Oryzias latipes: one gene and its partners. The protein of the gene in region 7 interacts with the protein of the main gene of each other region in a pairwise test. Links are inferred from orthologs where the notes say so. Each region holds a gene or a part of one and is shown on either strand. Other genes may lie near its edges.

Evidence for each region.
Region 1: the proteins of RNA-binding protein with multiple splicing (region 7) and gcm2 interact in binary tests that used the Homo sapiens proteins (3 or more experiments, as listed by UniProt). The link is inferred for Oryzias latipes from reciprocal best matches to the Homo sapiens genes RBPMS and GCM2.
Region 2: the proteins of RNA-binding protein with multiple splicing (region 7) and wdyhv1 interact in binary tests that used the Homo sapiens proteins (3 or more experiments, as listed by UniProt). The two-hybrid records come from large-scale screens. The link is inferred for Oryzias latipes from reciprocal best matches to the Homo sapiens genes RBPMS and NTAQ1.
Region 3: the proteins of RNA-binding protein with multiple splicing (region 7) and creb5 interact in binary tests that used the Homo sapiens proteins (3 or more experiments, as listed by UniProt). The two-hybrid records come from large-scale screens. The link is inferred for Oryzias latipes from reciprocal best matches to the Homo sapiens genes RBPMS and CREB5.
Region 4: the proteins of RNA-binding protein with multiple splicing (region 7) and PHD finger protein 1 interact in binary tests that used the Homo sapiens proteins (3 or more experiments, as listed by UniProt). The two-hybrid records come from large-scale screens. The link is inferred for Oryzias latipes from reciprocal best matches to the Homo sapiens genes RBPMS and PHF1.
Region 5: the proteins of RNA-binding protein with multiple splicing (region 7) and probable E3 ubiquitin-protein ligase DTX2 interact in binary tests that used the Homo sapiens proteins (3 or more experiments, as listed by UniProt). The two-hybrid records come from large-scale screens. The link is inferred for Oryzias latipes from reciprocal best matches to the Homo sapiens genes RBPMS and DTX2.
Region 6: the proteins of RNA-binding protein with multiple splicing (region 7) and cnnm3 interact in binary tests that used the Homo sapiens proteins (3 or more experiments, as listed by UniProt). The two-hybrid records come from large-scale screens. The link is inferred for Oryzias latipes from reciprocal best matches to the Homo sapiens genes RBPMS and CNNM3.

The regions. Positions count from the first base shown.
Region 1 is NC_019878.2:1,863,054-1,867,999, forward strand, and holds the start of gcm2 (chorion-specific transcription factor GCMb), read right to left. Parts: upstream 3,068-4,946; 5' UTR 2,981-3,067; exon of another isoform or gene 2,911-2,980; 5' UTR 2,877-2,910; coding exon 2,784-2,876; intron 1-2,783. UniProt on the Homo sapiens protein: Transcription factor that binds specific sequences on gene promoters and activate their transcription. Through the regulation of gene transcription, may play a role in parathyroid gland development.
Region 2 is NC_019869.2:4,811,601-4,816,423, reverse strand, and holds the start of wdyhv1 (protein N-terminal glutamine amidohydrolase), read left to right. Parts: upstream 1-1,510; 5' UTR 1,511-1,557; coding exon 1,558-1,631; intron 1,632-1,928; coding exon 1,929-2,028; intron 2,029-4,462; coding exon 4,463-4,513; intron 4,514-4,595; coding exon 4,596-4,744; intron 4,745-4,814; coding exon 4,815-4,823. UniProt on the Homo sapiens protein: Mediates the side-chain deamidation of N-terminal glutamine residues to glutamate, an important step in N-end rule pathway of protein degradation.
Region 3 is NC_019874.2:16,141,473-16,145,048, forward strand, and holds part of creb5 (cyclic AMP-responsive element-binding protein 5), read right to left. Parts: intron 3,043-3,576; coding exon 2,815-3,042; intron 2,717-2,814; coding exon 2,608-2,716; intron 574-2,607; coding exon 416-573; 3' UTR 1-415. UniProt on the Homo sapiens protein: Binds to the cAMP response element and activates transcription.
Region 4 is NC_019874.2:28,769,585-28,774,486, reverse strand, and holds the start of PHD finger protein 1, read right to left. Parts: upstream 3,219-4,902; 5' UTR 1,053-3,218; intron 947-1,052; 5' UTR 796-946; intron 1-795. UniProt on the Homo sapiens protein: Polycomb group (PcG) that specifically binds histone H3 trimethylated at 'Lys-36' (H3K36me3) and recruits the PRC2 complex. Involved in DNA damage response and is recruited at double-strand breaks (DSBs).
Region 5 is NC_019872.2:28,231,738-28,235,883, reverse strand, and holds the end of probable E3 ubiquitin-protein ligase DTX2, read right to left. Parts: intron 3,749-4,146; coding exon 3,530-3,748; intron 2,998-3,529; coding exon 2,930-2,997; intron 2,842-2,929; coding exon 2,674-2,841; intron 2,054-2,673; coding exon 1,892-2,053; intron 1,338-1,891; coding exon 1,248-1,337; intron 979-1,247; coding exon 739-978; 3' UTR 521-738; downstream 1-520. UniProt on the Homo sapiens protein: Regulator of Notch signaling, a signaling pathway involved in cell-cell communications that regulates a broad spectrum of cell-fate determinations.
Region 6 is NC_019870.2:1,789,731-1,793,876, reverse strand, and holds part of cnnm3 (metal transporter CNNM3), read right to left. Parts: intron 2,365-4,146; coding exon 2,221-2,364; intron 2,152-2,220; coding exon 1,993-2,151; intron 1,914-1,992; coding exon 1,744-1,913; intron 1,419-1,743; coding exon 1,322-1,418; intron 1,001-1,321; coding exon 870-1,000; intron 1-869. UniProt on the Homo sapiens protein: Probable metal transporter.
Region 7 is NC_019876.2:8,095,184-8,099,329, reverse strand, and holds part of RNA-binding protein with multiple splicing, read right to left. Parts: exon of another isoform or gene 1,733-4,146; intron 1,527-1,732; coding exon 1,399-1,526; intron 1-1,398.

The DNA of each region.
Region 1 (4,946 bases), on a different chromosome or scaffold from region 7:
ACGGAAATGTTGACCTCTGGGGTTATGAGCATCAAACCACACGCCGCCAAACCCATTTGAATGTTGTAGCTGTCCAAAGCGGGAGTACTGATTCGTTTTAGCGTCTGAAACAGATACTCTGTCGAGCGCCGGAAGCTTTTGTCTTAACGAGACGCTCAAACTACTGACGGCTCTGAAAACATCTGCTGCAAACATTTGTACAGCTTGTATTTGGTTGAACTTTGTGTTTGAGGATATTTCCTTGTTAAAATAAAATAGTGTTTGTTAAATCTACTCTGTCATTTGTCATTTTGAATTTGTATTTTTGCATTTCTGATTTGGGGATTTTGCCAAAAATCAGCCTCGTCATCATTAAAAGATCTCTGGGACGCTTTGACGACGGATAAGAAGATGATTAGAGTGGACATGTAAATATTTTAAATATTCTGAGAGACTTTCTTCAAGGCCCAGTGGGCCTCACATACACACACAAATATAATATCATGAAAACAATTATATTGCCTATATTAAAGATCTAAATAGAGGGCATTTCAAGCTAAAAGTAGAAGTCCCATTCGTTGTCAGTTATTTCGTTTTCACCCAGGTGAGCGACGTGTTCTCTGCATGGGATTCATCCCATGGGGGGGCTGCAGCCACAGCCGCGCTCGGTCTAACCCTCCGATCCAACGGATCAAGCATCGAAAGTAAAATAGTAACCGGTCCAAACAGCTGAAATCCCATGGACGTCTAAAGAGACATAAACAGCTGTTAGCGAGTCTTTCTATTGGTCAGAAGAAGCGTTCTGGATCGGATACCTTTTATTAACATCTTCTTGATGATCCTCATTTTTGGTCAGGATTTTGTAGCTGTTCCCATTAAGAGCATTTGTCATGACTGCCTGGATTTGAACTCACAGCCTTCCTGTCTCAGGGTGGACACTCCACTGCAAGGCCACTGAACTATTTGGTGTTTTTTGTACAATAAAATCCTGTGACCTGCTTTATTATCTGGATTTTATTAGTTTTTTAATCAGTCTATCCCAAAATCTAACATTAAATCCAGGTTATCTACTTTTTTCCAAGTAGCCAATATTTATGTATTTATTTATTAATATTTAGATGTATTAAAGTTAAGGTTGCTTCTCCAATTGTGCTTCCAGTACTTTAACTTTACCGATAATAAACATTTTTATGTAAGTCAGTAGTAAAGTACCAAGCAGAACATCTGTCCTTTCTACCTCTGCAGGTGTCGGTGATTTAAGGTCATCCTGTGCGGTTCATTACAATATAGCAACAAGTACAAGTAGGCCTATTCTGTAATAGTTTGTATCACGTGTTTTTGATTGCTAATATCTAATATATCTGCTGATTTTAAAACAGGATTTGAACGTCCAAATGCCTCCATGTGTTGGAGGAGCTTTAAAGCAAATCAGCAAATTCCCCTAAAAAGTGAGGCTGTCTCCCCTCAACTACAGAACAGACACGACGGGTCAGGCTGTGAGCTCTTTCTATTCAGAGAGTTTGTTTTTCATCTATGAAAGCATCCTCATGTCTTCAGGTCATGGTCCACCTTGTTCACCTGCATCAGAACCCAACCGGAGCTTCTGCAGCCAATCAGGGAGCAGCGCGGCCTCCGACCGGCCGGTTTGCTCCTCCGTGACTCTTTCCGTCCTTGACGCTGAAACACGCGTGACCCGTGACATCTCCTCTCTAGAAAGATCATCGTGGTGCCGAGGCCGCGTCAGCATCTGCTTCCACGCTGAACGTGACGAGTGTCCACGCGTGGACTCACATCGCGATCCACTTTCTGACACACAGACCGGAATCCTACCGCCACTGAATCTGACTAAAGCCTTGACCATCATTCCACATGAGCGCCGTTTCTCGGCATTTATGCCCCAAACGTGTCAGTCTGCTGCATTTGCCCCTGCCGAGGGTGGCAGCAGAAGACGCGCGCGCGCAGGGCCCCGAGTCGTCCTTTGGGGGCCTAAATGTTATAAAAAATAATAATAAAAAAGGCCGATGTTTTAAGTTCTTTACGGTTTATTTTTTCTTTGACAATAATCAGAAAACAACAAAAAGAAAAATCAAAATAAAGCCGCTTTAGGCCCAAAGGCCCGGTTCTGGTTCCGCGTTTGTTCAGCTTCAAATTATGAAGATAAATTTGGACTCTGCTTGAACACCGAACCTCGTATTACAATGAATGTGGTTCGGTTCGGTGGTCATCACGCAGTTCTGAGCTCCAGATCAAAGTGCGGCGCACGCGCGTCTTCTTCATTTTACAATCATTTCTGGCCTTTTAGTGTTTGACTGAGAATATTTATAAATAATTCTAATGATTGGAAGATTATTTTGGAGCTGTTTGCGTTTCATTTTTCACGTTTAAATTTGTCTCTAAACGGAATTTCATTTTGGACTTTTAGTTTCGTTTCTTTTTTGAAAATCTAAAAAAAAAAACCACGTTTTTCAACGTTAAAAATAAAAACAGATCGAATCGAAAAGAATATTTCAAATGAGGTTTTCCAGTCTTTAACGCAATAAAGTACATTTTCCAGAAGCCACAGTTTTCATCTTATTATATTTACGGCTGATCCAGGAGGCCCGGTATCGGTGGTTCGGACGGTTCTCCTAGAACCCAGTTTTTATTCTTACAGTCCAGCTCGGTTCGGCCCGTTTGCGGCTCATCTCTCTCGTCTCGATTACGCTTCTGAGCTCGTAGGTTCGATACCAGCACAATTTCACCACGAGTACCACCAGTAAACATGTCAAACCGGACGGCGCAGGGTTCGGTTCCGGTCCACGCACCTGCGGCAGTTTGGGGTCGTTTATGTCCCAGGAGAACTTCATCCCGATCGAACACACGCAGTCCGTTTCCTCGCCCTCTTCTGCCCGGGACATGACTGGTTCTGGTTCTGGTCCAGATTCTTCTGATCTTAATGAGAACTCAATGAAAAACGTTTCAAAGTACGTGAAATCAGCACGTGCGACTCCGCGAGAGTTACCTGAAAGACTGACAGGACAGGTGAGCGCGAGGAGGCAGAGGAGGAGAGAGAGAGGGACAGAGAGGAGAGCCGAGTGTGTGTTTGGGTGAGCTCGCGCGTGTGTGTGTGTGTGGGTGTGTTTGCTTTGCAAACACCTCGTTGCTTTTCCAAAAACAAACTAATTAATGAATGTGCACCAGAACCAGGACTGAAGGAATACCAGACCCAGGACCAGGACTGAAGGAGACCAGACCCAAGACCAGGACTGAAGGAATACCAGACCCAGGACCAGGACCGAAGGAGACCAGACCCAAGACCAGGACTGAAGGAATACCAGGACCAGGACTGAAGGAGACCAGACCCAGGACTGAAGGAGACCAGACCCAGGACCAGGACTGAAGGAGACCAGACCCAGGACCAGGACTGAAGGAGACCAGACCCAGGACTGAAGGAGACCAGACCCAAGACCAGGACTGAAGGAATACCAGACCCAGGACCAGGACTGAAGGAGACCAGACCCAGGACCAGGACTGAAGGAGACCAGACCCAGGACTGAAGGAGACCAGACCCAAGACCAGGACTGAAGGAGACCAGACCCAGGACCAGGACTGAAGGAGACCAGACCCAGGCCCAGGACTGAAGGAGACCAGACCCAGGACCAGGACTAAAGGAGATCAGAAACAGGACCGAAGGAGACCAGACCTAGACCAGGACTGAAGGAGACCAGACCCAGGACTGAAGGAGACCAGACCCAGAACCAGGACTAATGCTGACAAAAAAACATGACAATGATTAGATCAAATCAGGACCAGAATGGACCAGAACCAAGGGCAGAAAAGGGCAATAATGGGGCTGTGATTGAAGGCAACTTGGACCTGCAGGATGATCTCAGTCCAGGATCAGGATCAGAGCAGAAAATTGTCTTAAGTACAACAAACCTGGACAAAGATCAGTACTTAAGCAGACCAAAGCCAGGAAAGGGTCAACTTGAAACAACATCATAACAAACGCACACCAAAGCAGATCAGTACTGAAGCAGACTGGACCCAGGACTTTATCAGATCAAGATCAGAACAGGCTTGGACTGAGACTATAGCAGACCAGAACCAGTTCTAGGATTAGGATAGATAAGACCTATCAGAACATACTTGGATCTTTTCCAGTCTTAGGGTTGGTGTCAGAGCAATGTTTATTATTTTCTATCCGCTGCACTGAGCAGTAGGACCTCCAGGTCCCTAGAGGTCTGATCCTCTGCAGATGGCTGCCTTCTGTAATGGAGCTAGTGCAATGCTGGAATCATGGGTCTGACCAATGAGTTATATCACTAGAGGAGACACGCCCGCTTGGGAAGCCTGGCCGACGGTGGCGGAGCGCGACGCCATCTTGGTGAGGTCGACGACGCCCACATGACAATAATTTCTATTGCTTTTAGTGGTGTCTAGGTAGCTTTTATATACTATATATATTTATATATATAATATATATATAGATAGATCATTTGTTGTTGTTAAAGAAGAGAAACAGGCAGCCTTAAAAGCTCAAACTTTAATGAAAATGCATTGTTGCAGGAGTTCTTACAAAGAAAAAAATAATTTCAAAGAGTTTTTAAAAATAATTTCTAAACATTTAGAAGTTTTAGACCTCTTTGACATGTAATTTAAATTATTTAGAAAAACCCAAAAATGAGTCAATAATAATAATAATAATAATAATAATAATAATAATAATAATAATAATAATAACAAATCAATAGTAAGTCAATACAAACAATAAATAAATAATAAGTCAATAAATAATAATAATAATAAGTCTATTAATAATAATACTAATACTAATAATAATAATAATAATAATAATAATAATAATAATAATAATAATAATAATAATAATAATAATAATAAAATAAATATTCAAAAGAAGTCCAAAAGTGAACAACAGATTTACCCTAAAAAAGCAACAACTACAACAATAAAGAAAAACAATAGAT
Region 2 (4,823 bases), on a different chromosome or scaffold from region 7:
ATTCCTTTACCTGTTTCAGTGCGTCCCCTCTACATCCCTAAATCTTTTTTTAAATCTGTCGACAAAAGCTTTTCTTCATTCATCTGGAGCGGTAAGACCCCAAGACTCTGTTTAAAATTATCACAAAGACCTAAGCATCAAGGTGGCTTAGGCCTACCAAACCTGTGCCAATACTACTGGGCCTCTAATGTTCAAAAAACGATAGATTGGCTCCAAGCTTATGACATCAACTGGTATCGATTTGAAGCCTCCTCCTATAATACAAAAACTCTGACAGCCCTAATTGGATCTAGTCTCCCCTGTGTCATTTCACACTATATTACACACAATCCAGTAGTTACCAATACCTTTAAAATTATGTTTCAATTCAGACAGACGTATGGACTCACTCAAGTGCTTACCACTAGTCCTATACACAAAAATCACCTTTTTCTCCCTGGTCAGACAGACTTCGTATTCATGATTTGGGAAGTGATTAAGGTACAGTATAATCAACTTTAAGGACATGTACCTAAGCGGTATATTTGCAAGCTTCAATGATCTTGCTTCCAAATTTTGTCTGCCTCACTCTCACTTTTTTTAGTACCTTCCAGTGTGTCGCTTCCTTCAGCAGCATGACCCTAACTTCCCTAACATACTGTGTTAGATGAGGTGTTTGAGTTGCCACTCAATTCAAAAAGATTCATTTCCAAAATCAAAGACTGCAAAATTCCTGCTTCCATCTTTGTTGTTTGATTGTCGACTGGTTAATTCAAAACTTCCAAACTTATGTAATACGTTCTTTGTTTGTTGGAGAACTGTTTCCAACATTCTACAAAACTCATTCTATGTCCCAGCATTACACAAAAAAGTTTTTTAAAAACCCAATTTTTCCAAAATACAAAGAAACCCATTTTAAACAATGAATGCAGTATACCCATGCAAGGAACTGCTACATTTACGTTTTGGTTTTCAAGAAAATAACTGTTAATAAATATAAAATCACTTGATCATCTGTTTTTTGAATGTACATATGTTACCAGTTTTTGGGAGTATTGTGTTTGTTGGTGCTCCTCAAAGTTTCCTTTTCCTATTTCTATTCCGTTACAGTTGTGAGTACTTTCTGGTGATAATTTATTTGATTTGGCATTTGATACTTTATTAAATTCTGGGAAATTCTTCATCAATGAGAGCAGATTTTTTTAAAATCAAATCATTATTCAATACATTTCATAAAGAGATCTGTTTACATTTTAAATCCTTGGAATTCAAGAAAAACAGAAATGCAATAAAACTGTCAATTTTCATTGAAGATCACATGTTGTATGACCATACCTAGTGTGAGCTACAATTCTAATGTTATTTATTTATTTTTTCTTTGTATTGTATTCTTTTTTCTTTTTATATCTTTCTATTGTAGTTATGTGAATGTGTACGTGTCATCCTTTGAAGTTCAATAAGAATAAAATAAAATAAAAAGTTGGTGAAATCAACGCTACAGGAATGGGCTTTTAGTTTGAAAGGACGGATGTGACGTACTGTATTTTCGGTGAGGTTCTTTCCGGTTAGCTTACAGACATGAAGGGTCAGTTAAAGAAAGGTGTGGAAGTAATACCAAGCCGGGAAAACTGCGTTTATACCAGCTGTTATTGGTAAAAACCAAGTTTTAACAAATCAGAAAAGCAGCCCACTGTCCTGCAGTCTTTAGTTTTGTGTCAATAAATCATTTATTGTCAAGAAAAACATCAAAATGCTAAGCGGATCCGCTCGGCTAATCGATATTCACAGTTTACATTGTTAAATGTTATACCCATTTTTAAAACTGTTATAGTGAATGAGTTATTTCAATGCCATCTGTCTAATTAATGATTGAATGAATTTTCAGGGAAATATAGTTCATTTTAATCAAGTGAATGAGTGGCTAATGCTGCTTTCCTTTACTTTCTCAGTGAGGAAAATGTTTGGAAGCTCTGTGAGTTTATTCAAGCACAGAAAATGGTTCCACTGGACCAGTTTGCTGTAATTTTCATCTCTAACGACACCAGAACGGTAAGAAGATCTGGAAACATTTTAAACGGCTTAACAAGACAATCGAATAAACAAAATGTTTGCTTTAAAAATAATATTTCAAAAAGTACCTCATACTGAGAATGATGGGCACCGAGCCCTCAAGGGTTCAGGTGGTCTCAAGAAATATTTGAAAGTAAATAACAGGCCTTCTCTGTAAAAAGAAAAATCCTTTTTGCAAAACATCTGGTAGTTTCAAAATACAGCTACAGTGATCCCTCGCTATAACACGGTTTACTTTTCACGGTTTCGCTACTTCACGGATTTGCATCGTGCATTGTGTTCTGCATTCTGATTGGCTAAAAAGTCACTTCACTTCTCTACCTGTGCGTCAATAACATTGCAGTTTAATATGTACACGTACGTAAATCAGCGTGCCAAATTTACAACAGATACGTGCAAATCATCTTGCAATTTCGAGTTTCTCTATAACCCATGAAAAAAAGGAGCGACAACAACAACTGCCTATCACTATGTTCTTCTCCCGAACAAACACAGCTGCACCGCGGGCTTCAAAGGGAGACTGCAGAGCGGAGTCAGGATGCAGCGGCTCAAGAGCAGTGAATTACACCTGAGTCACTATTTGTCTGACCGTACTTTGTATTTTTTTAAAAATCATTTTAAATATCTTCCCGTTTAATCCAAATACTCGGGTCGCGGTGGGCGGGGCTAATCTCCGCGATTTGAAGCCTTCTGTTCACATTGATGATTAAAATTCTTATTTGACAGTACAATACAGAAGATATTTGTTGAAAAACCTTTTCTAAAGTACTTTTATTTGTGAAACAATTCCTTAGCCTGTAAAACGGTTTGTTCTTTCTTTTCAATGTATAATAGAGAATTTAATTGTATAATAATTGTTAAAAAAAAAGGTTTCTACTTCACGGATTTTGCCTATCACGGGTTCTTTTTGGAACGTAACCCCCGCGAAAAACAAGGGTTTACTGTACTCCATTAATTGTGTCCAAATTGGAGGGCTGTGTTCTTCCTGGGCTGCATCTGAAGGCTGCTTACGTAACATGTTGTCCAAATTCAACAAGTCCTTTAAATATGGCCACCGAATACAGCCTTCTTTTTACCCGATTTCAAGGATTGCTCTGGTGTACCCTTCTATGCTGTCCATATCCCAAGATGCATAGCAGTAGAACCCGGATATTTTCTGACAACAATGGCTCCATGCCTGGTTCACTCCTCCTCCCTGTTCGGGACTCACGGTTGCTAGGCAACAGGACATTCACTGATGTAATGGCTGGAATTATCTAAAGGCTAGACTCGTCCAAATTCACAGCCATTAACATCTGACCTACCCGCTCAACAAAGGACCCGAGTAACATCGCCAGGGAAGACTGCGGCCATTGAAGGACGCAGACTTCGAATTTGGGAGCACCCAATATATAACGCTCAAATGTTGTGAAAGCGTCTCACTAAAACGGTCAATCAAACCAAACAAAGAAGTTCATCAAACAAATAGGCAATCCCTAAAACTGGCCACTACACACAGTACATTACAAAAACCAAAGAAATCCCGGACAAGCCCCCAATTTATGTTACACCCCATTTTAGGAAAAAGAAATACTATTTAATAAAAAAACAACCAAATTACTGTATATTTGCAGTATAAAGCACACTTAAAACCCTTAATTTTTTTATTTAAAAAGCAACAGTTTGTCTTAAAATCATGATCACCCTATCTATTAATTAGTTATGCTGCAAACAAGGTTGGGTGTTATTGTGAATACCCTCACGCGGCTAATGTGTGGCGATGTTGGACTGTTTTTTTGGTTACCAAAAAGGTTGTGTGATAGCGTAGTCACGGTAACGTTTGTTTTAGCGCTATCAGTCTGTTTTGTCCACGTGCTGCAAGCAAAGTAACGTGACTGACTGACGGACATTTCTCTGACTCTTTAATCTCACTTAATCTGCCTTGTAGTTCGGTGTGCTCTATATGTGACATATGCTCAAAATAGACCATTCATTGATGTTGTGCTTGATAATCCGGTGAGCCCTGTAGTGTGGAAAATACTGTACAAAGAACAAAGCCTGTATGTATGTTCTGCCCTGGAGATCCTTGCCCAGTCTGGTGCTCTGGACAATTAGGCACAAATGTGCAATCAAAGCTGGCAGAGGAGAAGGAAGACAGAAAACCTCCCACTCCAGCAGAAAATATAAAAGAAAATAGAGAGAGAAAACCCAAATGTACAAAAAAGCCATCACACTGTCATTTATCCATAAATTTTCTAAATCTGCTTAATCTGTTTTGAGGTCGAAGTGGTTGCTGGAGCCTATCCCAACTACTGTTGGGTGAAGGTGTGGGTACAGTTCCTCTGTGTGTCGCAGGGCAGGGCTCTTTTTTTTGGAAAGTAAATCTCTTTCTTCCTTTATCTGAAACTCAAGTTCATTATCTTTTCTCCGTTAGGTTCCTCTTTGGAGACAAAAGTCCGGACATGACGACCGGCCGGTGATCTGGGTGTGTCAGACCCCTCCATCTTTGAAAGTTGCTGTGGGAATCTCCAAATGACCATGAATGGTTTTGTCGTTCTGTGTTGCAGGACTACCACGTGATCCTGCTGAAGGTGGGTGTGAAGTCAGACAGTGTGATCTATGATCTGGACTCGGTGCTGCCGTTTCCCTGCAGCCTGCGGCTCTACGCAGCTCAGGCCCTCCGGTCGGACCGCAACCTCAGACCTGAGTATCACAGGTAATAAACGCAAAGCAGACTACTGGTGACGCACCCATAAAACACCATAGTAACCCGGATTTTATGCCAGGAAGTTGCG
Region 3 (3,576 bases), on a different chromosome or scaffold from region 7:
GGTTTACTTTTCAGTCCATCTGCCAAGTGAAACAATCGTTCGTAGCAATGACAGTCAGATAATGCTCATGTGTCCTTTTTAAAAAAAAAAAAAAAATTTAAACCACTATGGTCAGTTTAGTACCGTTACACTACAGAAAACCATTGAAACGGTGCATGATATGAGCAAAATTAACCTTTCAGCGAGCGCAAAAGAAGCAGGTAAAAAAGCAAGAGCATCGAACATTTATGCGTTAATAGGTCTATAAAAATATACTTTAGCTACTGTATAAAGAACAGCCTCACAGGCCTTTGAGGTTTTTATATTTATTTTTTCTTTGAGGGGTGGGGGCAGCGTGTGCAGCTGGTAACCCTCAAAATGCAGAGGTTGTGGTGGGTGGGGGTTCGGGGCTGTAGCTGAGGTTTTAGACTTGTTCCTAGTGGATAGGATTAATGTCTGTGTGATGGTTGGCCTGCCCGTGCACACTGCTGCCCCCTACAGTCGTTGTAGAGGTTGTTATGGTGTTGTGCTGGATGACCTGCTGCTGCTGTTTGCATGCTGGAGCTGGGCTGCCTGCTGGACTGCTCTCTGGACCTGAGGACACAGCAGAGACAACGCGGATCAGGTTTAGATGTAGGAAAAGCCTTTAATTAGGGCACAGACACAAGTGTGCACCTCAAACCCTGAAATGTCTTTACTTTGCTAAAAACAGTCATTTTGGGACAAAATCAAGGTATTTTGACTTTTTGTTTTAAACCTGAGCAGCTCAAATTGTTCAACTAAATTAGAAAATGTATCATAAAATGATCCAATAAAAATCAAACCACTTTCAAGAAAATAAAACAATGAATTGGAAAAAACAAAATAGCAAAAAACACGTCACTTTAGGGTCAAATTCAAATCAACTATAATTTTTTCTAAGAAAAAAACAAACTCCTGCATGATTTATTTAGGTTCAGCAGAATGAGTGTGTGCAGTAACACCAACATATAAAAAAACTCTAGAAGGAAAACTTTTGGAGGTAAAGCCTTACTGTTTTTTCAGAAGATGTAGAAGGATTATCATTTATTGTGAAGCTTTGCTGTTTCAATAAAGATCTACCTCACCTCCAGGTAAGCTTGCGTCACTCACTCTACACGCTTTCCATTAATTAGGCTTTCGCTCAATAGCTAAATTCCTAGCCTTCTTGTCTCAGCCAATCACAATCATATTTCTGCTTTTAAATTCATGCACGTTTATCTTTCTACATTCTAGACAGTTTTTCCGGCCCTCCTCCACCCCACAGTGGTCTCAACCACCATCAGTATCCAAAGCTCTGGGGTTTATCCATCTGTAGTCCAATGAAGAAAGACGTCGTCTGCCCAGAGAGTCTAACCGCCCAAAGACTATGGGCTATTTCATGCATATTTTTGTATCACAAATAAATCTTTCTTCACATTCCTAAGACCTCTCCCTATTGAAATGCAATATCTATGGATCACTTTTAGGGCTTTTTTTGTGGCCTTTTGTTTCTTTTTCTTGTGAAGTTTTATGGCGGATGGCACACAAACCTTTTGTTTGCTTTGTTTAGTTTCACTTATGTTTTCTTGGTATTTGACATAATCTGTTTTCAGGTTTTGTGTGTTTGCTGTCACAGACACATCAGGTTCAAGTTGTTGATTATCCACAGCTGTCTTCATTTACGCTAATCATCCTCTGTGTGTTTAGCTGTCTTGTTGTCAGGTCATCTGTTGTTTGCACTCTTTCTAATTTTGTTCTTGTTTAATGGTCTGTTCAAGTTTATTTATTAAAGTTTTAAAGTTCTTGCCCTCAAGCCCACCCTTAATTTGTGGTTTTTCATCAGTTCCTGATGTGCATATTTGTATATATAACATAAATACTTGAAAAGAGGATTGTAAAAGTTTATTTTCTGTCAAATTTATTATACATTAGTTACCAGCAAATAGAACTTTGGAGTTGAAAGTTGTAAAAGTCAAAAGCCGATTCTAAAAAAAACTGAATGACAAGGCCAGTACACTAATGTAAAAGTTTATGTCTAAAAAATATGCTCATAGTACGTTTTTTTGTCTACGTTAAAATTAATCGCTTTCTCCAATGAGCAAAACTCATCTGTTATGGTCATCCTAAGCCGGTATGGGAGTTGTCTTTCTCCTGCAGAATAGAGCCGTTCAGCTTCATGTGAGCCTTATTTTCCTGTGCATAAGCTACACTGGGCGGTGCCCCTATCCTAATTATGGAAATGGATTACATGGAAATGTCACTCGCATTAATATCGAAAAACGAGACTGTGAAGTCATGTGAACTTGACAAATGTCCAAAAGATTCTAAGGAGTTTGGCCACATCTGGGAAGTAAAACCCAACTGTGATGCCTTCCTCACATGAAGACTCTGTCACCTCCGTCCACAGAGGTGCTGTCTGATGGAAATATTAGCCTGTTGTGAGATTCAGACGACCAACTCCCTGTCCAGGCTTGTTACCAGGGTTTGACACAGCCATGAGTAAAAGAAAATAGTCCTGCATAAAGTGTGGGAGCTGGACGCCAGCATCACAGAGACGAGCCCTTGGCCATCCCAATTTGTCCATCAGAATTCATAAGACTAAGGAGTGTTTTTGTTTGAGCTACTCACTGAGGTAACCTTGGGACTCTTTCTGCATAGTTGTGATGGGGCAGTCCTTATGTGTGAGCAGAAGCTGCTTGAGTTGGGTCACCTCACTCTTCAGCATTGTCACTTCATTCTGAAATAAAGAAAAGGACCTTTTTTTAAAAAAAATCATCAACAAAGTCTTAAAATGCTGTTCTGATCTAAAGCTGAACCTCAGGTTGGTGTTTGTACCTGAAGCTGCATGTTGGTCTGAGTGAGCTCCTCCGCTTTCTTCTCCAACGACATCACCCAAACTTTTCTCTTTTGCCTGCATCTCGTCGCAGCCGCTCTGTTTCGCTCCAAGAACTTCCGCCGTCGCTCATCTGGATCTTCGTCCACGACTCGCCTGCGCCGCCCACCACTGGGGGGAGGACTCTGCAATGTCTGTGTGGGCTGCATCTGCTGGGTTGCAGGTGACATCTGAAACACGCGGCACAAACGACAAGTGTTATGGAGACTTTGATGAGACAGAGTCTGTCTGCCACCATCCAGCCACATGTGTGCTGCGAGCACTCCGACATCTGGATAACCACCCATCACCTGTAGGCTTTTCTACCTCTCTGCTGTTAAGAGGGGCCTCTTGCTTGTAAACAAGCATCTATGTATTATCTGATCCAGCTATTTAATGCCTGGAAACTTCCCTAAAAACAACATCTGCTCGCTCCACGCGCCTCTGAAGCCCAAGCTGCATGTGTCAGGAGTGAATGAATGAGTGAGTGAGTGGGCTGATTCACCAAGCTACCCACCTTGTTAAAGAGGTGTTGGGAGGCAGTTTTCCGACGCCCACTTCCACTCAGGCTAACACCGACAGACACAGTTGAAACGCCTGTTTCTAAAACTGTATGTATGCTGACAGATCTTGACATATTCTTGGCAAAGTCAGGTGTTTTCAATCCGAAGATCATTACCATTTTTATGAGAACCAAGGAAAAATACAAGCTGCTTTAATGGCTG
Region 4 (4,902 bases), on a different chromosome or scaffold from region 7:
ATCCTATTTACGGCGCCAAGATGACTCAACCAGTCGAAACCTGCACGGGGCAAACCCGCACTTGACCCAAAACGACCCAGATTAGACTCAAAATAGAAGTGATCCTTCATCATCCGTCTATAATTCGAATTTATAATCCTAAATAGAAATCACAGAACATAATTTCAGTCGAATCACAGACACATTTCAGCAATAAAACGGAGTTTTATTGCTGAAATACTGGAATAATATTCCATAAAGCAAATAAACGGTTTTCTAATAATCTTGTTGAAATTATGTCAATTGCTTCAAATCTAATACAAGTAAAAAAAAATGATTGTGTTGTATTCACTTTCTGCTCCTCCCCTTTTTAATGCTTTTCTATTTTGAAGCAAAAATAGTCTGTAACTCTCATTTATATGCATACTTTAATTAAAGAGTCAATTGTTTAAACAGGAACAATTCAAATGTTTAAAACTAATTTTTAGGAAAGATACATTTCAGGTTAGGAGGCTTTTTCATCATTTAGTGTATCTATCTGTGTTTTGGCTTCCTCCTTGTTTGTGTCTCACACTTGACTCCCACCAGTCAGACGTGTTATCTCTGCTTCAAAATGGCCCCTGGCAGATTAAAGGCAGATTTCCCACGTGAGACCACCGGGGGGCGTTGTACTACCAGCTGCTGCTGCATCACAGGACAGCTTTGACAGAAGCTCCGGAGAGCAACCAGTAAACCCAAACTGGAAAGTCCTTGAGTTTTTCCCTTTTCTCTGTAGCACCAGTCTGCATTCAATCCTGGAACGTGGAATGTTTTTACCTCACTTTTCCAAAACTCCAATCCTTTTCACTGAAGAATTGGACCGTTCGTCTGCTCTGTTTTGATATCAACTCCTGCTGTGAGGAGCCAGGAAATCAGAGTTCTTCATCATTTCAAACATCCTGATTACTTTGGAGTCGCTGTGCGGAACCTGGGGATTACCAAAGAATGGAGCCTTTTAGTTGCAGCAACATTTTTTAAATGTGTTTGTGTAATTCTCCAGATTTACCAATCAAGGCTGGATTATTCTAGATCACCTGGCATTTTGGGATTTCCGAGTGTGAACCTCGCAGAGCTCTTTTCTCAGATGACTTTCTTCTCCTCTACTTTTCTTAGCTCAAAGTCCTTGTTCCTGGTATTTCCTGGACCAGGAAGGAAGGAAGTATCCAGGAACCAGCTGTGAGTTTGTGTTTGATAAGTCAACACTAGTTCATTTCACCCTGAGTTTAAAGCTCTTGTTTGGCATCTTATCAATTGTTTTTCTTCTTACCAAGTTGCATTGTTTTTTTATTAACATGTCATTTTCCTGCTGTGGTTTAATTGTTGATTTCTGTTCTTGCATCTTTTTGTGAAAGTCCCAGTAAAGTGCCACAATACTACATTTATCCAATATTCGATAGGATCTGTACTCATGTTACCGATGTAAGGGATTTATATATACATTTCTTGTTGTTTTCTACTTGGCATATTTCCACTTTAATTGGCTGGGACCAGATCAACAAATTTGAATTCACCCTGTGGTTAAATAATACCAAATAAAATCCTTGAATGCTTGAATTCCAGATTAATGTATTGTCATTTATTTCACTCATAGTATTTGCAGAGGAATACACAGGTGAGACCAGATGTTTTTCCTCACTAATATGACAGTGCAAAAGAAAATATAGCAATAAAATAGAATAAAATAGCAATCAACTAAAATAAAATGTCAAAAAAATAGAAACCAGCATTCAATCCTTAAAGTTAGTATCTGCATTTAGCAGCAGTATATATTGTGTCTTTGGGTGGTGCAGAGGGTGGGGGTAGTTTATTGGGTCTGATTGCGGTGTGGAGTTTGTGAGAGCATGTATGCAGGAGGAGGACAGTCTATGTAGCAGTCTCACTGCTTGTGAAAAGAAGATTTTACTATCCCGCTGGATCTGCTGCTGATACTCTTGAACCTTTTCCCAGATGGCATAAGGAAGAACACCCCATGACAGAGAAGCGGAGGGTCCCTAATGAGGAAGCTTACTCTGCGTATGGTGGTATGGGCTCCAACAATCTCGCTGACCGGTTGTTGGTCCTGAACCTTGCAGCTGCCAAACCAGCATGTAAGGCTCTGTGTCAACACGTTTTCATTGGTGCCGTTGTAGAAGGTGATGAGGCGAGGTGTTGGAATTCCTGCCTTCTTGAGTCTCTGGAGGGGATGGAGGCTTTTGTGCTTTTCTGGTGGTCATTTTGGAGTTGGAGGAGTGGAGTTGGAGTGAGATGCACCCCCAGGAACTTCTCCACAGCAACACCATTTATGGTCGGATGTGTGTTGTGGTAATTGCCAGATGCCCTGAAGTCGATCACCATTGATCTGGAGATTATGTCATTCACACCACACTGCTAGCTGCCCCACCTCCATTCTGTAAGCAGACTCATCATTGTCGTTTATGAGACCAATTACTGTTGTGCCGTCCGTAAATTTGACAATGTGGTTGGTGCTGTACCTAGCTGTGCAGTCATGCGTGAGCAGACTGAACAGCAGTGGGCTCAGGACACACCCTTGTGGTGTGCCTGTGCTCGATGACATGGGCCTTGATGTGTGTGTTGATCTTGACTGTCTGCAGCCCGTCTGTCAGTAAACTCAGCATCCAATTGCAGATTGCCTTCAGCTTCTCCACCAGTTGCTGTGGAATGATGGTGTTAAAAGCCGAGCTGAAGTCGATGAAGAGGACTCTAGCATAGGTGTTTTTCCTCTCCAGATGTGACAGGATCAGGTGGAGAGCAGTGGAGATGGCATCTTCAGTAAATCTATTTACTGAAGATGCAAGTTGTAAAGGGTCCATATTTATTGGAAGACTCTTCTTGATGTGCTTCAGAACCAAGCGCACAAGACATTTGGTCACAATGGGTGTGAAGGCCACGGGGCAAAATACGTTTGGATCAGACATCTTTGGGACTGGAGTAATGACAGCAGTTTAAAGACAGGTGGGTATAAATTCCTGTCTGAGTGATGTGTTAAAGATCTCGCTGAATAAATCTTTCAATTGCTCCATGCAGTCTTTCAGAGCCTGTCCAGGGATGTTGTCCGGGCCAGCCGCTTTGCGGTTGATGGCTGTAATGCTGTGTTGCTGGATCACAGCAGCAGCATCTGTGCCTGGATGGTGCTGTAAACATCAAACCATGCGTAGAAGTTGTTCAGTTCCTCTGGTAACCCTTGTGCTATCCTTGGCACTTTAACATTGGTAGTGGGGTCATCTAGACCCCACAAGACAGTGCGCTAAATTTGTGATCTCGACTGGTGTCCATGGATTACATGAAATCTTTCTGCCTTTATCCACCTTTGTCATGGTAGGGAGAACACGTCAATGTAAGGGTGGGGTCATCTGGACCCCATGGGATAGCACAAGGGGTAAAGGGCGGTTGTTCCGGCATATTGTCTCTTTCTCACACATGAAGTGGCTGTTCAGTTTTTGTGTGTACAGCTTCTTTGCCCCTCTAATCCCCTGTGACAGGTTCGTCCTTGCCAGACTGTACGCTGCTGCATCTCCTTATTTAAAAGCCATGTTCCAAGCTCTCAACAAGGAACAAACGTCTCCTGTTAGTCATGGTTTGCAATTTGATTTCTTCCTGACGGTCTTGACCACTGTCACATCATCCACACATTTCTTAATGTAGTCAATGACGGACACGGTGTGTTCCTTCAGGTTGGTGATATTGTCAAAAGTTGCTGCTGAATCCTTGAGTTTGATTTAACAAAAATGAAAAATAGCCCCTTCAGGAAGACTAAAAACCAACCTGTTGTTCTGGTAAACGCAGAATAAGTCAGTAGATGCTGTAATCTGTAGAACTGATGGCCTCTGTGACAGGTCTTTCAAAGTAAAAGCTGTTCTCAAATTGGTTGCATGAATGAAAATATTTAGATTATTAACTTTGCCTAAAAATTAATAACTTTTCATGGTTGGTGTGGAGCTTTTGCAGAAATCTGTGAGTGAAATTTATAAAACAAAAAAAAAACAACAAGAATATGAATCTAAAAATTATAAAACTGCTTAATTTACACTCACTCACACATATTTTTTTGAATGAGACACACTATATATTGTATGTTTTGGATATTACAAAACCACATTAGACAGTGTTGAGCTTTAAATGTTGATGGTAAAACACGGATCATGGTTTTCCTCTCTGATGTCAATCATTCAAGTCAAATGTACTTCAAAGGTTTTTTGTTCACTGAAACCACTTTGCTTTACAATTTGAAGAGAATTTTTTTAACAAGTTGAAATCAACCAAGCCCATTCAAAGCTGCTTAAAACCAAAAGCATCCAGATGTCTCCTGGACTCCTCCCTGGGGAGGTGTTCCGGGCATTTCCCACTGGGCGGAGACCTGGGAAAGACCCAGGACACGTTTGAGGGACTACGTCTCTCTGCTCGCCTTGGGATTCTCCCAGGGGAGCTGCAGGAAGTGTGTGATGGCTGCCTACGCTGCCACCCCATCAGAGCAGTAACCTCCTGCACCGCACCCTACATATATCCGTTCACTATATCTTTTCGCATATACTTTTAGATTTCTTTTTCACACACACATTTGAACATAAAATTGATTAACACGTTTCAGCTTACTTTATTATAATTTGCTTCATTAATTTGATGTTATGCTTTGAGTTACCAGTGCTGAGGGAACCAGGCCTGACACAAGAATGCATGCCAGTCAGCAGAGGCCTGATATTCAGCACTAAACCATCGGCCAGGGGACAATAAATTATCTTGTGTTGCTTTACTTTAGTTTCTATTTTGATGCTCTTTATTTTCATTCATTTGTGTATGTTAATTTACCACAGGATGGATATTAGTTTAGTTTGCTTGCTGTATTTTGTCTTAGTCTTTTTAAGTTCCCCCTTGTGTGTCTAGTTGGTC
Region 5 (4,146 bases), on a different chromosome or scaffold from region 7:
TTCTATGTGAAGAAATGAAAACGTTACTAAAAGGGTTCAAGGAGCGCGACTGTTTGGTCCTCACACATTTTCACCTCACCGGCCCAGAACAGAACCGGGACCGAGCCGGTCTGAACGGCTGGAGGTTCTTCAGGATTCAGCATTTTTTCCTCCTCACAGGTTTATGGTTTCATCAAATATTCATCTGTATAAATATTCATCCTCATTTCCTCCCTTTGAACAGTTGCTGAATGTTTTCTGAGCTTCAGTTTCTTCAGCTAACGGCGATTCCTGAAGGTCAAAGATCCGTTTCATTTCTAAATTCACTATTTTTTTAATCACTTCAGTTTTTTTTCCACTTCTTCAGGATGTAAGAAAACAGTCAAAAATGGACAAATGGCGTGAAACTTCTTAGCTGACGCTGTGATGTGATGAAGATCCATCGGGATGCAGCTTCAGCAGCTGATGCTGCAGGAATCTCCAGGATGACCCACCTCTCTCAGAACCGGCTTACAGGATGGAATGAGAGCTTCAGTCAGAGTTCGTTTGCATTCGTGTCTTTATTTACAGCGTTTAGCCTGAACTGCTCGGCCGTTTTCTGGGAAAAAAAACCCGACTGCATGCGTTTGGGTCTGGAGTCAAAGGAACGCTCTAAAGTGCTTCATGGGATCGGCAGAGCGGCACAGAAGTCCGTTTGTAACAGAACCCCCCCCCCGCCGGTCTGGCAGGCGTGTTGGGAGGGGGGGGGGGGGGGGCGGCCTAGCTGCTGCCTCCGGCGGGCTTCAGGCAGTCCTCCGTCACGCCTTGCGAGGCCAGCTCCGACAGAACGTTGTCCAGGTAGTTGGGGTCGGGGTAACCGTGGCCCGACAGGTTGGACATCATCTCGGTTTTGTGGTGGATGCCGTTCCACACCACCGTGTCGGGCTCGCCGGTGGTGCTGGACGTTCCCACGGTGAAGATGAGGCGCCGCATCCACGCCACCTTCAGCAGCTCCAGGACCTCGACGACAAAACAAAAAAAGCCCGTTTCAACCTACGATACAGCAGAAAGACCTCAAGACTGAGAATAAAATGTTTGAACGCCTCCTGGTCTCCTCTGTGGCGCCTCCTGCTGTTCACGTGAGGCGAGTTCAAGGCCTGTGTGATATTTCTACCGCCTCGCCCCCACATGGGGCAGCACACATTCAGGAAAGAGTGAGGCCGGCTTATTTAATCCCACTTTCCATCAGTGAATTACAGCGGGATGATGGCCAAGGCTCCTCCCCCTACCTTCCTGCCTTTGTCGTTGTCTGGGAGGAAGCAGAAACGAGGGAAGCCCCTGCAGGTGAACAGCTGTCCCGGGTTAGGGTGCTCTGGACCCTGCAGGATGAAGAAGAAGAGACAACGATAAAACTGCAAGTTCAGTCAAAAGAAACTCTTTTTTTGGTGTTTTAAACCTAAATTTGACCATTTTAAAGCATAATTGACCAAAAACAGGTTGAAACTTGTGAGTTCATTTATTTTTAAACATTTTTTTCTACACTAAAGTGTTTCTGTCTTTGTCAGATGAAGAGCAAACAAACAAAAAAACCAAAGTTGTTTGGAATCTGGTTTCTGTAAACCTGAATGAACATCAGTTTGATCTCAGACTCGTGTTTTTCTGGGTAAATATTTTACTTTGAGAGTAAATATTACAACCAACAAGGTAGAAAATTCAAAATTTCAGGTATTTTATTCAGAAAGAGGAAGAGCAGAGATTGAAGAACCCGGACCTAAACGCAGCTCACCAGGCATTTCTGGGTTCCTACGGGTTTCTATGGTGAAGACGAGCAAAATCACTAAAGAAAAACTAAAAAAAATGTTCAGAAAATCTCTAGAAAAGAACCAAAAGGGGAAAGGTTGAGTCCTGATGGTAGCTGAAGGAAGGGATGTACCTGGACGCCAGGAGGGATGCTGTAGATGATCTGGATGGTTCCACAGTCCGGGTGTCCGGGCAGCGACTGAGCGATGCTGTAGATCTCCATCTTGCCTTTGGGCTGCGTGCCCGTCTTCTCCCCGTAGATTGTCTTGCAGGAAGGACACTGCAAGCTGCCGTCCTGCGGGGGAGAAGGGAACCCGGTGAGCTCCGCCCCTTACAGAAGCTCAGACAGAAGAAGGCGGAGCCTCAGTAAAATGGACCTTTCAACAACCAACCAACAGTCAGACGTGGAGCTTTTCCCACCGAGGAACATCTGAGCTCCTGAAACCAAAGCTGAGCCACGTTTCCAGACGACTTTTAGAGAAACAAAGTGCGTTTCTGCTCAGGAGTTCAGGACGGAGAAAGCAACTCCTCAAAGAAGACCGCCCACAGACACAGGTTCTAGTGCTTCATCATCATCATCATCATCTGAACCTGCTTTAAATCCAACAGTTTCATCGGTTTAGTCATCTTTAGACTGGAACTGAACAAGTAAAACTAAAGATTTCCCTTAAAGAAAAGGACGTCTAAGCAGCTGAAGAACAGGATGAGATGTGAAACATTTAACTGCGCTCCTGTGACCCGGTGGAGGTCTTTAACCATCGGGATACCGGCTCTGTAACGCCGACCCGATGACCCGGCAGAGCGGGTCTTCACTATTAAAGCAGAACTTCTCCCACACGGCTCTTCTAACTCTGAACAGACCTTCACCCTCCGTCTGGGGAGCGTCCCGGGTGAACATGGCGGCGGCCCGCGTACCTTTGTCCCGTTGTTGTACATAGCCAGCATGCAGAGCATGTGGAGGGTGTGGCCGCATCGCACGAACTTCCCCACGCTGCTGGGCCCGATGCTCGGACTGCTCTCCTCGGACGGGCCCGCCTCGTAGCCGGACGGGTTGGACAGCTGGTCCATGCAGATGATGCAGTCCTGAATGTTTGACAGGTGATGTCACATAGCCACGCCCCTTTTCTCTGCCTCCACCAATGAGTGCAAACCGACACGGAACATGACATACCTCATCTGGAACCGCCGACACCGCCTCCATGTAACGCTGGATCACCTCCTCGGGTTTCTGGGCCGACGCTGTGGGAGAAAACACAGGAGGAGGTTCTGAAGGACCCCAACCAAAACACGGACCCAAGAAAGACCAGGAGAGTCTGGTGGAATGAGATGATTTCCACAAAATAGGTTTAGAAATCCTCCAGGAAATACTTTTACCACAGAAAAAATCCTCTCCATTTGATTCCAGCTACACAAAGAGCTCACCGTAAGGAACCTGATGATTACGTTCAGACCAATCAAGGTGAAGCCAGATCAACAACAAAGCAGTGATGGGACGGAGTGAAAGTGGTGAGGAAATGATGCCCCCCCCCCCCCCCCCCCTCCCTGTCATGGTGGTTCAGTGATTCTTCAGAAACCATCTTCTTCAGGTTTCAGCGTGAAGAACGTCTCCACGGCTGCCCCCCCCTTTAACGGGGGGAGTCTGTCAGATTCAGAGAAGAAACTGAGGCAGAAGCAGAAAGAAGTTCTGATGGAGGAGAGTCTGAAGGACAGAAGCCTGAGTGCAGTGATGGAGCAGGACAGGTGGAGTGGGGGCTGCTGGTGTGGTAGCTACCTCTCCTGTGCTGCCTCTTTGCTCTCCTAACTGAACTGCTGCTGCTGCTGCTGCTGGGGGGCTTGCTGGGCCTGCTGGCTGGGGGCAGGAGAGGAGGTGGAGGAGGAAGAGAGAAAGGCGGCGGCAGCTGATGCTGCTGTGGCGGCTGCTGCTGAGGGAGGGGGGCGGAGGTGAAGTGCACGCCGAGTCCCACTGCTGACATCAAAATGGAGGCCATGCCTGGAGTGGGGTGGGGTGGGGTGGGGTGGGATGGGATGGAGTGACGTGGGGCGGGGCGGGGCGGAGTGGAGTGGGGGGCGGATGCAGAGATGCAGGGAGGAAGAAATAAGGAACAAATCAAAAAGAGAAATGTTGCCACGGCGACGCATTTTTCAAACAAAGAGCGAAATAAGGAAAAATCCCTCACCGGTGCTTCCTGACACGAGCGCCGCCACGTTGACACCAGTCGACAGCCATTGGTCCCAGTCACCAATCATGGTCGACTGGTTTTAACATGGCGGCGCCCATATTAGGAGGCAAAGGTACGTCCTTTTTGGGAACATGAGGGGGGGGTTGAGATGTCCCATTGTTGTTACAGTCAAATGTTTAACATCAACCATCGTGAATTACGACCACGG
Region 6 (4,146 bases), on a different chromosome or scaffold from region 7:
CCTTTTCAAAATTTGGCCTATGTGTTTCTTAGAAAGATCGGCTAAAGTTTTTATTTTTTTAACCACGCCCACATTCCAAATAAATTCATTTCATATGTCATAACAGTCCGTTCAAGGATTCATGTGTTACATTTGCTAAAAAGAAATGTGCTAGCAGTGGTGGTTAGCCACTTCTGTGAGCTCGCCAGGCTAGCAGGCTTAAAAATCTACAAACCTTAAATCCAGCAGTTTAGCTTCCCAACGACGCTCCAGGGCTCACAAGGCAAGAGCTCAAAATCGGTCGTTGACGTTCAAATTTGTAGCAGGTACTAATGGTCACTTTTTGGAAAATTCACGATGGCGGCTTCTAGACGCAAGTTAACTTAGGTCAACGTAGACTGGTTGCAGACGTCACCTGGTTGAATGTCTGAAATTCTGAGAAAATCGCCAAAACAAAAGTTTTTCTTGACATTGTATAAAAATGTGAAAATCGCCAAATTTTGCACTTTGCTGGAGAAAAAAAAAAACTCTGCCGAGCCTTAAATCCTTAGGCCATCCCATAATAATTCTAAAAAAATTTCTTTGGATATCCCAAACACGCCTCTTTTGATTATATTCGTGAATTTTGAAATTCTTTTTGAACCCCATAAGAAATTTTGGCCCCGTTCATTTTTTGACGGTTTCTCCTGCTGTGATGTCATCATTTGGGGGCGGAGTTGTTTGCGATCTCCAGAATGAATTGGGTTTTCTTCTGTGAAACAGCCTTTTCAGTGAAACCGTGAACAGGAGCATCAAACATCTGTGGTCCGAAGAAACGCCTTTCACTTCTGGTTGGTTGACTCCCATTAAAGCAGACCTGAAGACGGAAAGGTGAAAGGTCGTTCACTGACCCGGATGAGCTGCAGGTCGGTCAGCGCGCGGACGGTGTAGTCAGGACAGTAGCTGGACGGGCTGGTGGCCTCCCCAGAATCAAAGGGGTCTCTGGGAGAGCTCCGCTGGGTCGATACCGGAGACTGGTGCACTGCAATCAAACGGTCTCCGTTAGTCCTCATGTACAAGGAGAAGCTACAAAGAAAACTTCCAGCTGTGATCGGGGGCGGGCTAAATGCTACTACGACTACCTATGCTTTTATTTTGAAAATATTAAAGGGGGGTTGCTGCTTAAGGATGTCGGCCGCCTTCAGAGCCCAGCTGTTGGACTTCTGCTCCATTTCCTGCTGTAACATGTCAGCATCCGGATTCAGGAAGCAAGTTACAACATTTTAAAAATGATTTTAAAGATCATAGGAGGATTGAAGAAGATGAAAGAAGAAAGAATTTTATGTTTAGTTCCCGCCCTCACCTGAGGATGGCAGCGTCAGGGCAGAGACGCCGTAGTACGTAAATGCCCCGTTTTCAAACTTTAGCCCCTCTTTGCCGATTTCCACTTCAACGCGACCCTGAAAGAAAAGACAGAAAACCCTTTTATTTAATTCTTACAAACATTTTTTTTCTCTTTAGCTCCTAAATCAAAAAAACGTTTTTTTCAATGAAAACAAATCTGTTTTGTTGTATTTGCAATTGTTTTTAGTGTCTTTTCTGTGTTTTTCTATTTTAAAGCAAGTTGCCTCTAAAACGGAACAAAAGACATGAAAATGACATTTAAGACACTCAGCTAAAGTCTGATAAATCGTCTCAACATTTGCCATAAAAACCTTTTTTTTGTGGTTTTTCACCATGTCCGGTTATTTCCAGTGCAGGGCGCCCCCTGCAGGCGGTACGTACCTGCAGCAGCAGGATGAAGTAGTCCACCGGCTGGTTGCGGGTGTACAGGTAGTGGCTGGGGCTCAGCCGGTTGTTGGCTTCGAAGTGCACCTCTTGGTTGACACTGGGGTGGCGCAGGAGGTGGAACAGAACCTTCTCGGACACCCGGGCCGGGCTGAAGTGCTCCACCTCTGTAGGGCCAGAGGTCACTCTCAGCATCTTCATGCAGCTTAAATGTACACACAGAGTCGGGGATGGCGGTCAACACACCTCTGGACAGGAAGCGGTGCGTGGCGAGCAGCAGCTGTGGCGAGGTGTGGATTTTGGATTCTCCCTCTGGGGGCCTGAAGAGAGAAAACTCCTCGCCGGAGCTGCGAGGCTCCAGAGAAATCTCCAGGGGCGGGAGGGGCCGCTTCAGCTTCCTGTCCACTGTGGGACGACACGCAGGTGTGAACAACCGTGGCGGGACACGGACAGAACACGCTCACAAACACTCACGGTAGCCGTCGGACTCGTCCAGGATCTCCGACTTGATGATCTCCTCGATGACGTCCTCCAGCGTGACCAATCCCAGCACCTCGTAGAACGGGTCCCCCTCCCCCTCGTTGTTCACCTTCTGGACGATGGCCATGTGGGAGTTTCCTGAGTGAACAAATGACCCGTACAGAAAACCTTCCTACGTATGGTTTTCATTCGAAACTTCCCACTTTTACAGTTCTCCTCAAAAACGGGATCTAGGAGCCGGACCGAGTCCCTCCACACTCGTTCCACAACCCCCACCCCCCATCTGAAAACGCTGAAGCCCTGGCGTGCAGCTCTACAGGTGAATAAGTCTTTAGTTTAGTTACCACTGGAAGGATTTTAATGGATTCAATATGGCCGCCGTCCTAAAGGGAATGGACCATAGCAACCATCCGACTTATTTCTTGTCCAGAGCTAATAGACGCGGAAATTCATTTTCTATGCTGCAGCAACAAAGTTACATTTGACTGGATCCCTAGCTATGGAAGCAATTCTGTAGCATTAATAAAAAGCAAAGTCAAAACCAGAAATGCTTTTTCATTTTCAAAATGAAGCTGCATTTTTTGACTCAAAAATAAAATGAAAAAGTAATCCACCAAAATGCTTTTTCATTTCCTTCCTCAACACAGCTTATTCTGTCACTTAAATAAAATTAAAATTAAAATGGTATTTGACATTTCATTTTCAAGACGTTCTCTGGTAAATGTGTAGCAAAATTCATTTAGAAATGTCTAATTTGACAATTAAAATGGATTAATAGAAATGCTTTTTAATTTTCAAAATGAAGCTGCATTAAATGACTCAAAATTCAAATGAAAAAGCAATATTTCAAAATGCTTTTTCATTTTATACTTAAAACCGCTTATTCTGTGTCATAATTAAAACGAAAATGCAAAGAGGGGATTGCATTTGCATTTTAACATCCACCCTGGGAAACTTGTAGCAATATTCATTTCTTAAAAGCATTAGCAGAGGGGAGGCGGGGCGATGACGTCACTGCTTTCTCCGTGTGTACGGCCGCTGTCGCTGAGAGACCTGGTGTGTCTGTGTTCGCGTTGAGATCACCTAAAACCGGGTCCTGTTCACAAACCGCTGGACCTGGACTGCTCAAACCTGGATTCCTGGATCTTAATGCGAGAAATGCAGCAGAATGTTCCTTTATCTCCCTCGCGAATCAGAAGCTGTGAATCGCAACCCAACTTCTTCAGCGTCGTCTGACCGCACGGATTTAAAAACATATGATCGAGCAGAGCAGGCCCTTAATAATAATCATGACAGTAATAAAAGCACATTATGAAGATAGTCTCCTGCAGCTTCGCGCTGAGTGATGCTGCTATGTAGTCCTGAGAAGCTGTGGAAACTCATCAGAAGTTCACAACCAACTCAAAGCCGTCTTCTCTGCCACTAACACAGTCTGCTCCTGGTGCGTGTGTGTGTCAGCGGCCGTACACACGGAGAAAGCAGTGACGTCATCGCCCCGCCTCCCCTCTGCTAATGCATTTAAGAAATGAATATTGCTACAAGTTTCCCAGGGTGGATGTTAAAATGCAAATGCAATCCCCTCTTTGCATTTTCGTTTTAATTATGACACAGAATAAGCGGTTTTAAGTATAAAATGAAAAAGCATTTTGAAATATTGCTTTTTCATTTGAATTTTGAGTCATTTAATGCAGCTTCATTTTGAAAATTAAAAAGCATTTCTATTAATCCATTTTAAATGTCAAATTAGACATTTCTAAATGAATTTTGCTACACATTTACCAGAGAACGTCTTGAAAATGAAATGTCAAATACCATTTTAATTTTAATTTTATTTAAGTGACAGAATAAGCTGTGTTGAGGAAGGAAAAGAAAAAGCATTTTGGTGGATTACTTTTTCATTATATTTTTGAGTCAAAAAAT
Region 7 (4,146 bases):
AGACAATGTTAATCTTATTTTTATTTTTTCCTTACTCTGACAACAGTGGGACAGCAAGTCATCAAACTGGGTTACAGAGAGACAGAAGAACCGCTGAAGATGCAGGTCCTATAGTAGATGGTAAACCTCATCCAAAACAATGAATTCAGACAGGAAGACTTTTGCTTTTGAAGAGCTCTTCTAAATAAATAAACCTAATCTGTTGTAAATAAAATATACAGTCCAGGCTCCCATGTGGCGATGAGGCTAAAATCTAGATGGCAGCTTCTCCCACACACAAAGGGAGCATCAAGTTTACAAACACATTTTTGGACAGAATTTGACTAGCGCTGAAAGAAGATAGTGGATGCGAATTTGATGTGTGAATGGCGTTCTGCGTGAACGCAGCATTACGCTAAAAATTTGTTCAGAAGTACTGCACTTTCCTCCCAAAAGTTCAACTTATACTCCCGCATGAATTGTTTATGTTCTCTCTTTATTATGCATTCTTTAACTCCTGTGACTTATACTCTGGAAAATGTGTTTTTTTTGTTTTTTTTTAAGCAGAGATGATCGCAAAATTATAACAAAAATCACAGGAGAAACTGGATTTCTTGAAATTTTACATGTAATGTAAAATTTTTCGTCAGCATTACTCTGGATACTTTAGAATGAGAAGCGGGTAATTTTCAGATTTGTTTTATTAAATTTATGAATCTGAAAACAGAGATTTAGCTATTTAAAGAACATTTGCTTTATTTTGTTCCTTTGTGTAAAAAAAAAAAAGAGAAAGTTTTAAACAATTGCTACACTAAAGAAACAGTCTTTTCCTCATTAAAATGTGGAAAATGCTGGGATTTAACTGTAGCTGCTTTTGAGAGAGGGAAATATTAAAGACAAATTCGACTCCTGTAAGGAAAAACCTGCGATTAGACATTTCCAAACTAAATAATTCCTAATATAACTTTAATTAGGTAAAACTCCTAAACTCCTAATGCAGGATTAACGGCTTCATTTCATACAGGAGATCGTTAAATCACAGTTCGAAGCCTTAAAGCTGCAGCTGCTAAATTTAAACTTTACCAGCACGAAAACCCTTCCAGCATTGGAAATCCTTTTTTTTGCAAGAGCTGCATTCTTTAGTACGATATCACTGAATTAATTATCGTTATAACTGTAGGGAAAGTTGTAAAAATAAATCCTTTTAACCTTAAGGAGAAACAAACTAAACCCCCACCCTAACAGCTTCTTTACGCCTTCAGAACAACAGAAAACAGATCTCTGGTGTTTCGGTGACATTCATAGAAGGTAAAGTGGCTGGGTGATGGATGCGCACTGAGGTGCATGGAAGTGATTTATAGGCTTAACTTGTGCAATAGTGGACATGGGGGGTGGGGGGTGGGGGGATTTGGAGGTTACCTGAGCGTGGAGCGAGGAGGGGTAGGTGAAAGCGGGTGGGAGGGCCGGCGACAGCTCCGCCGGGTACAGCGGGTATGATGCCCACACATCTGGGCTGCCGGGATATAGAGCAGGCACTGTGAGCTCATCTGTGGAAAGAAGAAGAAGAGGAGGAGTGAAGTGAGGAGAGAGGTAAGTGGATGGGGTGAGTGGACAGAGACGAGGGGGAGGTGGCAGTGATAGGGGGAGGTGCACAGTGGTGGGGAGCTCTAAATATCTGAAGTTGATTCCTCTTATTTGGTTTTATTTAAAGCGGTCGTTGTTTTGGTATTTTGATGAGAAGAGGTTTCCGTCGGCAGGACGCGTTTGTCATCGTCTTCCCTGAAGATCAAAGACTGAAATATGCTAATATGTCTGGCCTTCAGCTCGTCATCATATCACTGTGTGACAGCTGCTTCAAAAGCTTTAGATCACGTCAGTTCAATGCCACTTACATTTGGACAAAGAAAAAGAAATGACATCTCAAGTCAGAGACTTCCTGTTGGACTTAACATAGTTTAGGTTAGCTAAAGATCATTGACTGTATATGAGAACTGGACTGAGTGAGTGAGTGTCACCCATAGAACATGGCTTACTTCCGGCTCCAACCAAATTAAGTCAATTTAGTAGCCTTTTGTGGCAATGCAGACGCCAACTAGGGTTGGGTATCACCAATAATTTCTAGAATCGATTCGATTTGATTCACTAGATCCACGTTTTTTTGATTCTTTCAATCCACTCTTTCGATTTGACTGAATTTAGTATTTAATTTACACAGTTTACACATTTAGAGATATTTTTATAGAAATCCAAAAATAATCAATATATGTTTTGAACATATTCATTTTAATCTGATACGGTTCACATACAGTTAAATCTATTGGTGAAATAATAAACCAATGAAATTGTACACAGTGTTACATGGTTTCTCAAACGGAGAAGCTGCAACAAAAATGTGCAGATCTTTATGTTCCACCTCTCCTGGAGGGCGTTTCAGTTTGCCCACTAGGTGTAGCTCGCGCTAAAGAAGATTTGAGCAAAAAAAACTGTGCTTATGACCACAAATGGTTAATTTAAGAAAAATGTTTCCTCAAAAGACTTTAGGAAATTCATGCCTGTCCGGCAGTCGGACCTCCAGTTTTATTTTTATTGTTCCTCTCTCGGGTTGAGGCTCAAACTGGCCAATGGACAGACGGAAGTAACATTTGAAACGGCCGTAACCGAGGCGCAGCTCCAGAGCACGCCAGGAGAGACTCTGAAGGATCCGGTGAACCCAGTCACGGCGACGGGCTTGTAGAGCTCTTACAAACATGTAAAGCCTAGCTACTCGCTCAACATCATCCATGTTCTCCATGATGTGGCAACGAATGAAGTCCAGAAAAACGTTGGCGGTTGCTCAGCCACTGGAGCGTCGAGGCATCTAGCAGAAAGTTTGACATAGAAATACTGGGTAGACAAGCTGACGTCAAACATGGGATCCTGAATTACAAAAATGAAGCCTCACTTGGGATGGGAACATTGCTCCGCCCCAAACGAACAACATGACAAATATAGTGGGTGGGAATTTTTGTTGGACTCCATCGATGGGTCCACCCACATTCCAATAAAAAGAAACGACATGTTGCAGAAATCGAGGCAAATTATTTTCTAAATCAAAATGACTAGTTTAAAAAAATGTTTCAACTCTGCAATTGTCATGAAAAGACAAAAAAAAAATTCAATATTTCTGAAATCAATTATCTAAATCTAAATTTAAATAAATAGGTTTATCTTTTGCTGTAAAGATAGACGTCTTAGTTAGTAGCCAATATGAAACCAGCCTCTAGTGGTCTTTTAGAAAGTGCAACATTTAATCCATTCTGGTTTGAGGCAGATGTGGAAATGGAAGGTGAGGCTTTAGTAAAATAAAAAACTAGTACGTTTACCAAAAAAAAAAAAAAGAAGTTGAAAGCTGTATTTTCAATTAGGATAATAGTCTGCTTGTCAGGAAACGTCCTTAAGTTCCAACAACTGCTTAAGTGGGGAAGGTCTTGATAAGCTCTGACCAGGAAGGAAAAAAAAGCACAGAGAAGATAATAAGCTAATCCTGCCTGTCCTCCGATTGTTTACTGAGAAGCAACTTTACTTTGTGACGCCACCTTTACTAATTGGACATACTCTAGTTTTTGCATTTTTCCTTATTTGCAATGCAAGACTTTGTTTTTTCTGAAAATGTGCATTTCACTATTCAGTTCACTTCTGCTCTTTAGTTGACTGTTACACTGTAGTGAACCACACCAAAGTTCACTTGCAAGTGATTGGATTGCAAGTGATTTATTTTGCTTACTGTTGTTCTTTTTTATTCGTAAGTGTTGTATGTGGCACACTGGCACCGCAGCAAATTCCTAGTTTGTTTTGTTCACTGACGATGGCAATAAAAACTCCCTTGAATCCTTGAATTGGAACCCCTTGTTTAAGAACTTCACCAGAGTTTCCATACCTGCGAAACATCGTAGAACTTCAGTTCTGATGCGGATCAAATGCGCTTGTGTGATATTGCCCAACAGTTTGCACGCATAAGGCCATACGTTTCAGAGGAAACCACCTCAGACATGTTGATTTACTCGATAAGTGCAAAGTGATGGTGACAACAAAAAGTGCTCGAGTAAAGAAGGAGGTGCTGAGTGGTACAAGACAAGTGCACACGTCAGAACGCAGAAAATCACGACACGGAGGCAACTCATTGGAGAA